3 linked regions of the Arabidopsis thaliana genome follow. The protein of the gene in region 1 interacts with the protein of each later gene in a pairwise test. Each region holds a gene or a part of one and is shown on either strand. Other genes may lie near its edges. The genes, in order: AT5G55100, AT1G32580 and AT2G29210.

The links.
Region 2: the proteins of AT5G55100 (region 1) and AT1G32580 interact in a two-hybrid assay, tested with the Arabidopsis thaliana proteins (one large-scale study listed by BioGRID).
Region 3: the proteins of AT5G55100 (region 1) and AT2G29210 interact in a two-hybrid assay, tested with the Arabidopsis thaliana proteins (one large-scale study listed by BioGRID).

What each region holds. Positions count from the first base shown.
Region 1 is NC_003076.8:22,363,127-22,366,885, reverse strand, and holds the start of AT5G55100 (SWAP (Suppressor-of-White-APricot)/surp domain-containing protein), read left to right. Parts: upstream 1-2,061; 5' UTR 2,062-2,221; coding exon 2,222-2,492; intron 2,493-2,650; coding exon 2,651-2,811; exon of another isoform or gene 2,812-3,259; coding exon 3,260-3,759.
Region 2 is NC_003070.9:11,781,529-11,785,287, forward strand, and holds the start of AT1G32580 (plastid developmental protein DAG), read left to right. Parts: upstream 1-2,014; 5' UTR 2,015-2,579; coding exon 2,580-2,959; intron 2,960-3,049; coding exon 3,050-3,147; intron 3,148-3,229; coding exon 3,230-3,295; intron 3,296-3,756; coding exon 3,757-3,759. Other genes in the region: AT1G32575 (uncharacterized protein), read left to right, coding at 22-105. UniProt on the Arabidopsis thaliana protein: Involved in organellar RNA editing. Required for the processing of few RNA editing sites in mitochondria.
Region 3 is NC_003071.7:12,556,446-12,560,204, reverse strand, and holds the start of AT2G29210 (splicing factor PWI domain-containing protein), read right to left. Parts: upstream 2,227-3,759; 5' UTR 2,050-2,226; coding exon 2,029-2,049; intron 1,910-2,028; coding exon 1,820-1,909; intron 1,658-1,819; coding exon 1,535-1,657; intron 1,381-1,534; coding exon 1,213-1,380; intron 1,125-1,212; coding exon 1,050-1,124; intron 914-1,049; coding exon 801-913; intron 482-800; coding exon 434-481; intron 356-433; coding exon 299-355; intron 163-298; coding exon 1-162.

The sequences.
Region 1 (3,759 bases):
CAAAGGCGTGATTTTGATTAAAAGAAAATTACTTATTGATTTTATTTGTCGTGAAAACCACGAACCACTAATTTATATATTTCTAAATAAAGCAAATTGAAGCTATATACATCCTGCCTCTAATGGACACTTGCTTTAACTTGAATTCTAAAGTTCTCGATCCGCATACGCCCAATCAACCACGATTATATAATTTAATATATGAAAGGCCATTTTTACATTGTAACTTGTAACAATAGAATAATATGAAAATAATCTATATAAGTCAATAAATAAAAGTTTTTACTTTAGAAACACATGAGCAAGCTTTGTAAGGCTAAGTTCCTTCCATCGTCACTAGTCTTCTGTTCATATCAGACAATCTCTTACATAAATGATGTACAACTCCGTTCTCTTTAGTCTTTTCCATGGAGTAATTCAACTCTTTTTTTCATTCTATCTCTAATCTTCTAATATGGTACCATAGTTCCAAGTATAATTACCCGACATATGATTTCTCATAGTATACATATATAGTCAGTGGCGGATCTAGAACCATAATTAACCCGAGGCACAACATATTTATAAATTTTTAAAATAAAGTACAATATGAACATTTCTTAAAAGACATGTAAATGGAAGAAAATTTTTTGAAGTGTCAATCAACATTGGCAGTACCTTATATTAGCATAATTCCTTCAAACAGTTATAGAAAAAGATAAATAAAGTAAAAATAAGTTAAATACTGAAAACATTTATTACTTGAAAATAGTAAAATTAATGAGTAATAACCAACTGACTAGAAAAAAAGTCACTCTAACATGGGGCACAACAAACGAATTCTTTCATCTACAATACAAATTGCACAACAAACTTCAAAATTATCAAATCTTGCATGGGGCACGTGCCCCAGTACTTATACACTTGCGTCCGCCAATGTATATAGTCCGTTTTGTAGTGATATGTCCGAGACAATGAATATCTCACATTACAAATGAAAATACAAGGTATATAGATCTTTCCACTTTATTTTAAGTTACAAACAAACCCGTGATTCCTGATATAAATATGTGTAATGGAATCCGAATTATGATGTCCATTAGTACGATGATGACCATTAATTAAACTAATACAACTTGCTTTGTTAAATGTATGTTTTTGCATAAATGTGTACAATCTATATTTAGTTTTTGAAACAGTTATATAAAATTTGAATGTCCCTATAGTAGCTTACACTAATATAGCTCTATACACCAACGATCGAACTATCGAAGAAAATTCTTGAATAAACCAGTCAAAGACGTCCACAAGGCACAAATATTATATACGGTGTTGAAGAAAGCAATAGAGAGAGGTCAACGCTTTCCTCCAATTTGTTAAACAATGTATAAACTTTACGTCAAAAAAGTCAAAACCATTCCCTTGTTGCTTATTGGTCATTTTCCGACCTATACGATAATCTTATTGTTTCTCTACGATATCTTTCTGTTGCATTAACTATTAAGCCACACGCAAAGTCGTTTTACATTAACGTTAGTTTAATTAGATAACGTTAGTTTAATTAGTATTATTTCTACAGAGTAATTGCTTTCGAAACTTTTGAAAACAATGTGCCATACAGGTTGTTCAAACATGGTTAGATAGATGCATAAAATTACAAAAATTATATAGAGAGAATATTAAATCACTTAACCATTGTATCATGAGGAGATAGCTTGAAAGCCCTGACAAAGAAAGAGGGTTCATAAGTTACCTAAAAAAGAAAGAAAGAGAGCTCATAATATTTTCATCAAAGTAAAAACTCAATGTGGATAACCGTCACATCAAGACGAGGCAGATACTAGATTGAGCAAAATTCTCCAATGAAATCACAAATGTTGAAGCACTTTAAATTTGGAGATTTCACTGCTTTTTCACTCTTAGGGTGGCTTACATTTATTAAAGTTAAGGTTATGGGGAAAAAATATAAACTTTCTTAAGCAGGGTTGAAAACGCAAAAACATAAAGAATGCACGTCGTTGTTAGTTATTTTCTCCCAAATGCGTGTGGTTTTATTACTTTTCAAACGGCAAGTAAAAAAGTCTTATAAACGACGTCATTTAGTCGACTTGATCTCTTTTGTAAGTCATCACATCTTTGGGTCAATCACGAATTTGGAACATCCGGTTCCAAATTACGGATTACACAGACCCTAGCCTCTTCCCCAAATCCCAATTCTCCATTGCTTTAGAAGAATCACACAATGGATCTAGAGATTGTTGGTCGTCACGCTCTCTTTTTCGACGATGATTCGATGGCAACGTTTGTCAACTCTCCGACGGCGCTCGTTGACTGGAACAGCCTCTTTATTGACCGCTACGATGTTCGTCATCTCCTCTCTTCTCCTCCTCCTCCACGTATCAAACGCCGTCGTCCGAATTCAAACGATGCTGACTTGGAATCGGAGCTCGATCACGAGCGTTATCTAGATTTACCGTCGGAATCTCCATCTCCGTCGGATGATGATGAACACGGTAAGGATGATGAACTCCGTAGAAATCTCCGTTAATCTATATGGTAGAGAGACTCGAACTAGCTATGTTAGAGACATAAAACTGTTCTAGAGAATGATTACGAAAAATTCAGATCGAAACTTAATTTGTTTGCCCTTTGGATTTGCTTTACTCTCCAGATATGAATGAGGATTCAGCAAATACAAATGCGGATGGTTATCGTGCTGTCTCTTTTTCATATGGAAGCTCTAGTGATGTCAATGACCAGAAAAATGCTGCTGATATGGAATCTGGATTTCACCCGCCTTTCCCCGTGCCTGATTACTTACGTCAAAACCTGGTAAGTTATTGCTTTAGATTGTTCCCTTTAGCAGTATGCTAGTTTTTGCTAACTTATTTGGTACTTAAACTGATATTGGCCACGTAAACATCTGAAAGGTGCATTTGTTATTCTAAGGACTACTATGTCTAAGTTTCAGATGCTCGGAGAAGAGATGGAGTTGTCTAAGGTTGTCATTCACATGCACCTTGTTTCCTTTTGCTGCCATGACAAGGGGCAGTGCAGGTGGGATTAAGATGATAAAAATTCATGACTTACCAAGAACCTTAAAACTGATTGCACACCAGATGATGCATTTCTATACAGTTCTGAATTTTGCAATTTATGGTTCTCGATACTTATGTGAGGTTTTATTATGTATATATACCTGCGAGTTGCCAAAGGTGTCATTCATCATATTTCACATTACTAATTTTTTCTTGTATATTTTTTTTCTCTCTTCTTTCAGCCTCCAACTGAGAAATTACATCAGATTATCACTAGGACTTCAAGTTTTGTAAGCAAACACGGTGGGCAATCTGAAATTGTCTTGAGAGTCAAACAAGGAGACAACCCTACATTTGGGTTCCTAATGCCAGACCATCATCTTCACCTTTACTTTAGGTTTCTTGTTGACCATCAAGAGCTTTTGACAGGAAAGTCTTCTGTAGAAGAGAAAAAGAACGAAAGTGAGAAGGATGGTGGAGCTTTGTCATTGCTTGGTTCGGTTTATGGGACTGTAGAAGATGAAGATGCTAACGAAGAGTCTGCAAACGACTCCAAAACAAGTGAGTCCGCCAAAGGTGATGATGGTGTTAAGGTAACTGATTCCAATGGACCTGAAGGGTCGAAAGGAGCTGCAAAGATTGCCTCTAAGCATTCTCTGCCGTTGAATGATCATGCATCTTTCATAAAAAGAAATCCCTCTGTCAGCGCAGTAAATGTTGTAGAGAAGAAGCAGATCAATAC
Region 2 (3,759 bases), on another chromosome or scaffold:
CTTCTCCTCTATATTCTTCAGCTCTTGGTTGTAGTTTTCAAAATAAATGGTGGCACACCATTTACGAGAATCAAAACAATGCGCTCCAAATTCCTGATCCCGTAAGCGAAATGATAGGTAGACACGTTGATCAGCTGAGTGGATTTCCCATCATACCGACAGACTCCATTCTTAGGTTTGATATATGTTTCAAACACGTATAAACATCATAACATTAATCAATATTTTTTTCACTTGTGTTGGATTCTTTCTTTCTTTGTTCCCTGTATACTTCAATATTATCTTAAGAGTAACATAGAATATATGTCATCAGATAGTAGGAAGATTGCTTCAGCCACTAAAAGCGAGAGCTCAACCCCTAGTCCTTCAGCCTCATCTTTCTGCTTCTCATTGGTGAGATCAGTCTCTTTAGTGTAAGGAATATTATTGACTGACCTAAAAGGTAAAGAGAATATCTAGATTGTAGTAATCTCTTATTGTTACGGATAACACCGTGAGCCATTGACATTGATTTCATCTTTTTTGAGATGGTCGAGATGTCTGAAGGATTCATCGAATATGGCTCTAGATGCAGTTTTTTTTTGGGGGAGATTTCAAATCTATGAATCAACATATAACGAAACAAAAATCAGATTAAATATATCACAAAACGTTCGATTCAATCGGGCAAGTGAGAGAAGACGAACCCTAGATTAATAGAAAGAAAATAAACGATGCAGTCACCTTGTTGTTGTAGTGTTCTCTGAAAACTTAATCTTAGACGAATAATATCTATTTGTATATAGGAAAAAGGCTTTAATGCTTTGTGGATTAAAAGGATATATATAGAGGAAAGTAAGGAAATAAATATTTATGAGGAAATTTGGTAGAAGATAAGTTTTTATCTTAACTAATGATATTATTTTATATATTTTAAAAACAAACCCCCGCGGGAGTTATAGATTGCTTTAATACTAACATTAGTAATGCAAAAATACTATACTACTAGGATTTAACCTGTGGTATACCACGGGGCAAATATTTTATTTATATATAGTAATCTTAAATTTTACGGTTTTAAATTTAGTATTAAAATTATATAATTTTATATTAATATTGTAAAAAAAAATTAGTGATGATAGAATAATAAATAAAGATTTAACCCGTGTTATATCAATGCAAACCCGTCCCACTATATAACTCGTCTCATAATATTTTAATATCTTTTTATAAGGATAAATATTAATAATGTTTTATAAAGTTAAAATATATCAATAATAATATACCATTAATGCTAATAGATCCCCTTAAAAAAGAATATTAGTGTGTAGTACATTTTAGATTTGAAAAGATTTAAATGATTGTTGTGATATATTTATTTTAATTCTAAATTTTAGTAACAAAATTGATTTATATTTAGATTTGAGAAGAAATTTGTTAAAATATTAAATGCTAATGGCATTGGATGGTAAATAAATCCCAACTTGAGGATTTATTTCATAAAAGTGCTGCAAAAATGTATATGTAGATAAATCTATTTTAACATAATTTTTCTTTTATTTATATATTTAGTATTATTAATTTTATTTAAAAAAATTAAAACATAAGACAAATATGATGTGTTATTTTCCCTTACTTGTATTTTATTGTTCAAATTTTTTCTATTAATAAAGCTATTTAAAAATATTTTGACTAATTATTAGAAATAAAACTGCCAAAATATGTACATGTTTAGCATATCTATTAGTAAAAAAGTTTTTCTATTAATCAAACAATTATAGAGAAATATAATTTGACTAAAAATCCGGGTTGACACTTCCCATTTATACCCTTGATCTGAGTTTTTTGTGATAATTTCATAGATTTGTTGGTTCTGGGAAATAACTTCTAAAAAGTTGTATGTGTCATATGCTGCAAAAATCTAATCGTGAATGGTGAATTCTAAACAAAGACGTAAAATTTTAAGGAAAACATAAATCTTACCGTGAAACTTTGAGTCAGTCGAGATACCATATATATTAGAAAAATAAAAGACATATATAAAGAGAATTGTGGTTGTTAATGAGAGACACATTTCTCTTAACTCAAATCCATCTATTTCATACTAATGCCAAAATTCCAAACATCTAATCCAACTTCTCTCTCTGATCAATCTCCAAATCTTCATATGCAAATCCCCTAATCGAATGTCTTACTCACAATTGTATGTTCACCTCTCCATTATTGATTTTTTTTATTTAACATATATAGAGATTTGTTGTAATTGCACTCGAACCAAAACAATAAAACATTTGTTATTTCAAAACCCTTTTCCAAGACGAAAAAGAAAACCCATTTCCATAGCTAACCTAGTGTGAATTTTGTTTTCTCAGATTTAACCTCCTCAAACGGTGAAATGGTAGGATTAATTTATCAAAAACTTACCTATACGGGTTTTATTTCACTTATGATAAAACGATTCGGCCCATTAACCCATTTTGTTTTTCTGCTAACCCATTGGCCCATTTAGAATTAAAGAATCATCTGATTTAGTCATTTCGATGGTTTTCACTTAAACCCTAGTCTAGTCATTTCTCAGACTCTGACCTCACTGATCTCCAATGGCGAAAACCCTAGCTCGCTCCACAGCGTCACGCATCACCAAGCGCTTAATCTCCACCTCCGGAGCCACCACTCCTTCCCCTTCTTATATCCTCTCCCGTCGATCAACCCCGGTGTTCTCCCATGCCGTCGGATTCATCTCTTCCTTGAATCGTTTCACAACGATTCGAACTCGAATGGATAGGTCCGGTGGATCGTACTCTCCTCTAAAATCCGGTTCGAATTTCAGCGACCGAGCACCCACTGAGATGGCGCCGTTGTTTCCTGGCTGCGATTATGAGCATTGGTTGATTGTAATGGACAAACCTGGAGGCGAAAACGCTACTAAGCAGCAAATGATTGATTGTTATGTTCAAACCCTAGCTAAAATTATCGGCAGGTTAGGGTTTCTTTCAATTTCGTTGATTCATTAGTTAGAAGAAGCATTTAGTTATTGTAATTAATAATCTCTTGTTGTTTGTTTAATCAGTGAGGAAGAAGCTAAGAAGAAGATTTATAATGTATCGTGTGAAAGGTATTTTGGATTTGGTTGTGAGATTGATGAAGAGACATCAAACAAACTTGAAGGTATGTCTTGTTGTTGTTGTTGTTGTTGTTGTAATGTTGGCGATGTAATGGATGGTTGTTGATTATTGTGTGTGTGTTTCAGGACTTCCTGGTGTTCTCTTCATTTTACCAGACTCTTATGTTGATCAAGAGAACAAAGATTACGGAGGTGAGTTTTATGTTAATACTGTTGTTAGTGATTGCTTTAACACAGTCTATGTTTCGTAGTTCTCTGTGTGTTCTGTTTTGTGTCATAATCGATCAAGACTAAGCTTAGAACTAGAATTTTCATATATCTACTCTCAATTAAGCACAAAATCTCAGGCGTTGTTAATGTTAAGACTGTGGAGTGTGGAAGTAGAATCCGTTTCCTGCACTCAACTAGACATAAGACTCTTCTGTGTCACTTTTGTGTGTTCCATGAGTTGTTCCCTGTAGAGAAGCCAAAACATTTTGATTCCAGCCTTAAGTGTCATCTTTGACACCGATCTTTAGTCTGTTTGTTTGATAGAGAAGCTGTTTGTTTGATAGCTGAAGCTCGAGGGTCAAATCTTTAAACTAGCGTCTCTGTTTTGGTTTACTTGTTAAGTTCACTGCGTAATCAAACTCTTCTTCTAACGTATTGTGCAGCTG
Region 3 (3,759 bases), on another chromosome or scaffold:
CGCGACCTGCTTCTGAAAGGAGAGTGTATCCTACGTCGCCGAGGAGACAGAGACCTACGCACGGAACGTGATCTGGATCTACGTCTTGAATTCGACAATCTTCGCTTTCTAGGTGAGATGGAGGCATCTGATGATTGAGATGTGCTCCTGGATTTCCGTTCGCTGTTATAAAAGTAGACAGCATTAGCAAAAACTGCACTAGGATTTACAGAAAATAATAGATACAGAACTAGCTAGCTACACATCACAGGCTACAATTTCTTTGGATTAAGAAAAACAATTGCAGAAGGCTACATACCCAGAATAACTTTTCGAGCCTGAATTTGTTTTGCTGATTGACCTAGAACGTGACCCTCTGTAAAGCAACCAATCAATATATACTTGCACATATAAGCAAATTGTATTAGAAAAAACAAAACTATTGAAGAGTCACCTAAGGGGTGAGCGGGATGCATCTCCGCGACGTGGAGGTATCAGATCCCTGCATCAAGTGGAGGCAATGTCAGAACCCACTTACATAATAATCTTGGCCACAAACAAATTCCTGGACCACCAGCAAACCAAATGCACATGCAAAGTACCAGTAGCATACCTAAAAATGCTAAAAGACTAGAAGACCCAGAACAGTCATTTATAGAAATACTTGAACAACTCATGCCCACGAGTTCTTATAGAGAAAATCAACGTACAAAGTTATGAGTAGACTAGAAGGATGAACTCAATCAATAATAAAGTACACAAGGGAATACAGCGATGAGTAGAGAGTAGCTATGAAATCATAGGCATTAAGAGAACTCTACCTTCTCCTTTCTTTTACACCATTCTTCTCGTCAGCCCTTCTCCCATCCTCTGGACGATCTCTTGAAGGTTTTGCATCCATGCCATTTGTCTCCTTATGTTCTACACCGCTGTCCTACAGTAGTTGAGGTAAAGCACATGAACCCTAATAATTGCAGAAGCTATCTGAATAACATGAAAGAACAGGCGAATGTTAAAACCAGAAGAGCATCTCTAAAGCTGAAACTCTAGCATGAATAAGAACGTCTTACTATTTTCCTCAATATATCGTGCTCAATGTTCTTCTTATCTCCCTCCCTCTTCTTCATTATTTCATTTGCTTCTTCCTGCCACATAAAGGATAATAATCATGAAACAGTAGGACAGAGACAAGTCGTTCACCAAACTAACTTCAGAATGAGTTCCCAAGAATACCTGTTTCTTCTTTGTTTCAGCAGCTCTAGCATCTAAAAACTGCTGTGGAACACCACTTGGATTATTCTGTGCGCTTAGAAGAAGTGTCCAAAGTTCTTTCATAAATTTGCCAGTATTTTTCTCCATGAATCCAGTTAGCGTTATCTGAATCTCCTTACCATTCACTACCTACATACATAGTGAACGTTCAATTACATATTAGTCCAACAAAAAAAAATCACTTGTATCAATGGCATGGGCTACGAAATCATACTACCCCTCTGTCACTTATTAACAGTCGAATAAAAAGCTCAGAAAAATAAAATCTCAGTAATGAGCTTACCTTCCCGTCAAGCAGACCATAGATAAAGTTAATCAGCACTTCATCTTCAATACCAAGAAGCTCAGTGACTCTAGTCGCAATCCAAGGTTTCATAACATCCATCTTCACTTTAGTGATATCCACCTAACACCAAGGCAAGTAGAAGACATCATTAAGCCCTCCCCAAACTTAATTTCATAGTAACATATGTATCGAATTATCTGGTAATCGAATCTCAATTAAGTAAATTCAAGCTACGAATTCACAAATCGTTAAAATGGACGAGTACACAAAGAGAAAACTCACCAGATTCTCTAACTCCGGAGCAAATTTCTGGCTTTTCATCAATTTAGCTTGCTTGTTAGAAAACCGAGTATCCTGCTCGGCGGAAGTACCCTAAAAGCTCAAAACAAAGAAGTTATTAAACCATGGGAACTTCAACAAAACTTTTGAATTGCATCGATCTGGATCTAAAAGATGAGAGATCAATTGAGAAAATTGATCGGAAAACTAACCCGGAAGAAACCGCCGGACATAGTTTAGGGTTTGTGGAAGCACTAGCTCGTCTCTAGAAGAAAGATCGAAGCTTGAGAGAGATTTGTGAGATTTAGATGTGAAAATGGGGCTTCCACAGAGATTTTGAAGAGTTTTTAACGAGCCCTAGCTATATCGGACTCACTTCATTTTGTTTTTCCATTGTTACCCTCAGAGGTTTTGAGAATTACGTTATTGCCATTTATTGGAACATGTTCGGTCTCATCTTCTTGACAAGCCTTTTTTGTAATCTGATTGGTTTCAATTGCCATAGCTTATGGGCCAGTTTTAGCCCAAAGCAAACCTAGTCTTAATTAATCTCGTAGGTCTATTTGAATGAGTAAAACATTTTATCTTATTGGTACATATGCAATTTTGGAAGTGGTTTTTTTCTTCTAAAACGAACAGTGTGGTCACGGAAATTTATGTGCATTGTGTGGACTGATTAAGCAATTGAAAATGGTTTTAGGTTAAGTAGGGTTGGTAGATGAAGTTAATAAGAGAGAGAGAAGATGAAACTTGAAAGTGTTTGAGGTTTAAGAGATAAATGTGGAAAAGGAATGGAAAAGTTACATGTGGTGGTAATCTTGAAAGTGAAATAGATTAGAGTAATCAATGTGAACCTTATGGGACGTGAAAGGAAGATGACTATGATTATAAGTTTTGGGGTGTGCATTACTCGGTAAAAATATGGGTTGGTGCAACAAAATGAAGGAGTTAGGTTTGGTCAACTCGTCCTACTACATTAGAGTAACTTATGTTTCTTAAACCATAGGTGAAAGTGTGGGTGGAAACTATATAACAGTTGTTTGATCGTAATTTGTGTGGACAACAAGTGCGCATGGAAGGTGTATGGGCACACAATATAAGGTAGGTATGAGAATTGAGAACATATAAGTATGCAAATGGAAAAATGAGAGCAATGACTATAGTTATCTCTAATATTGTATTAGACTAGATTTTAACCCGCAGTACACCGCGGAAACAATTTATTTTTTTAATTAATATATATAAAAGTTTGTAAATTTTATCTATCTATAAAATATTTTTATTGTATAGTTTACAATTGTTATTAAATAACGTCCTGCCAAACTCGTCCCGCCAACCCGTCCTCTAAAAAAAACTCATTTATTTTATTAATGTTGATTTTATTTATGATATGTTTATGAATTATTGTCTAAATATTTTGTAATTTTGTAGTAATTAAATGCTATCAAATATCTCTACGGTTTGATGATTATAATCATGCAGAAAAGCAATATCAAAAATGATAATTTTGTAGTAATTAAATGATATTAAATATTTTAGAAGTTTTATTTTAGTAATTAATCGTGTAGTTAAGGTTGAGAGATTTTGGGAAGATTGTTAAATGTCAAATATTTAATTAGAAGATTTTCTTTCTAATTATCAAAAACAATTATTAAATGCCAGTGGCAGCCGTTGTAAATAAATCCCAACTCCAGTATTTATTTCACAAAGTAGCAGCAAAAATGTATATATAGATGAGCTCATAACTCTGTGTTTCAGTTTCATATATGAGGGCATGTCATGCAAAAGATAATAACATATTTTCTTTTGTCATCACCATCATCGAAATTATGGACTTTGACGTATTTGTATGATATATAAAGCAAAATTTATGTCAGTAAAGAAAAAAATCAACTTGGAAGACTTTTTAAGATTCGTTATTTAATTTATTTTTTCTTTCCAAT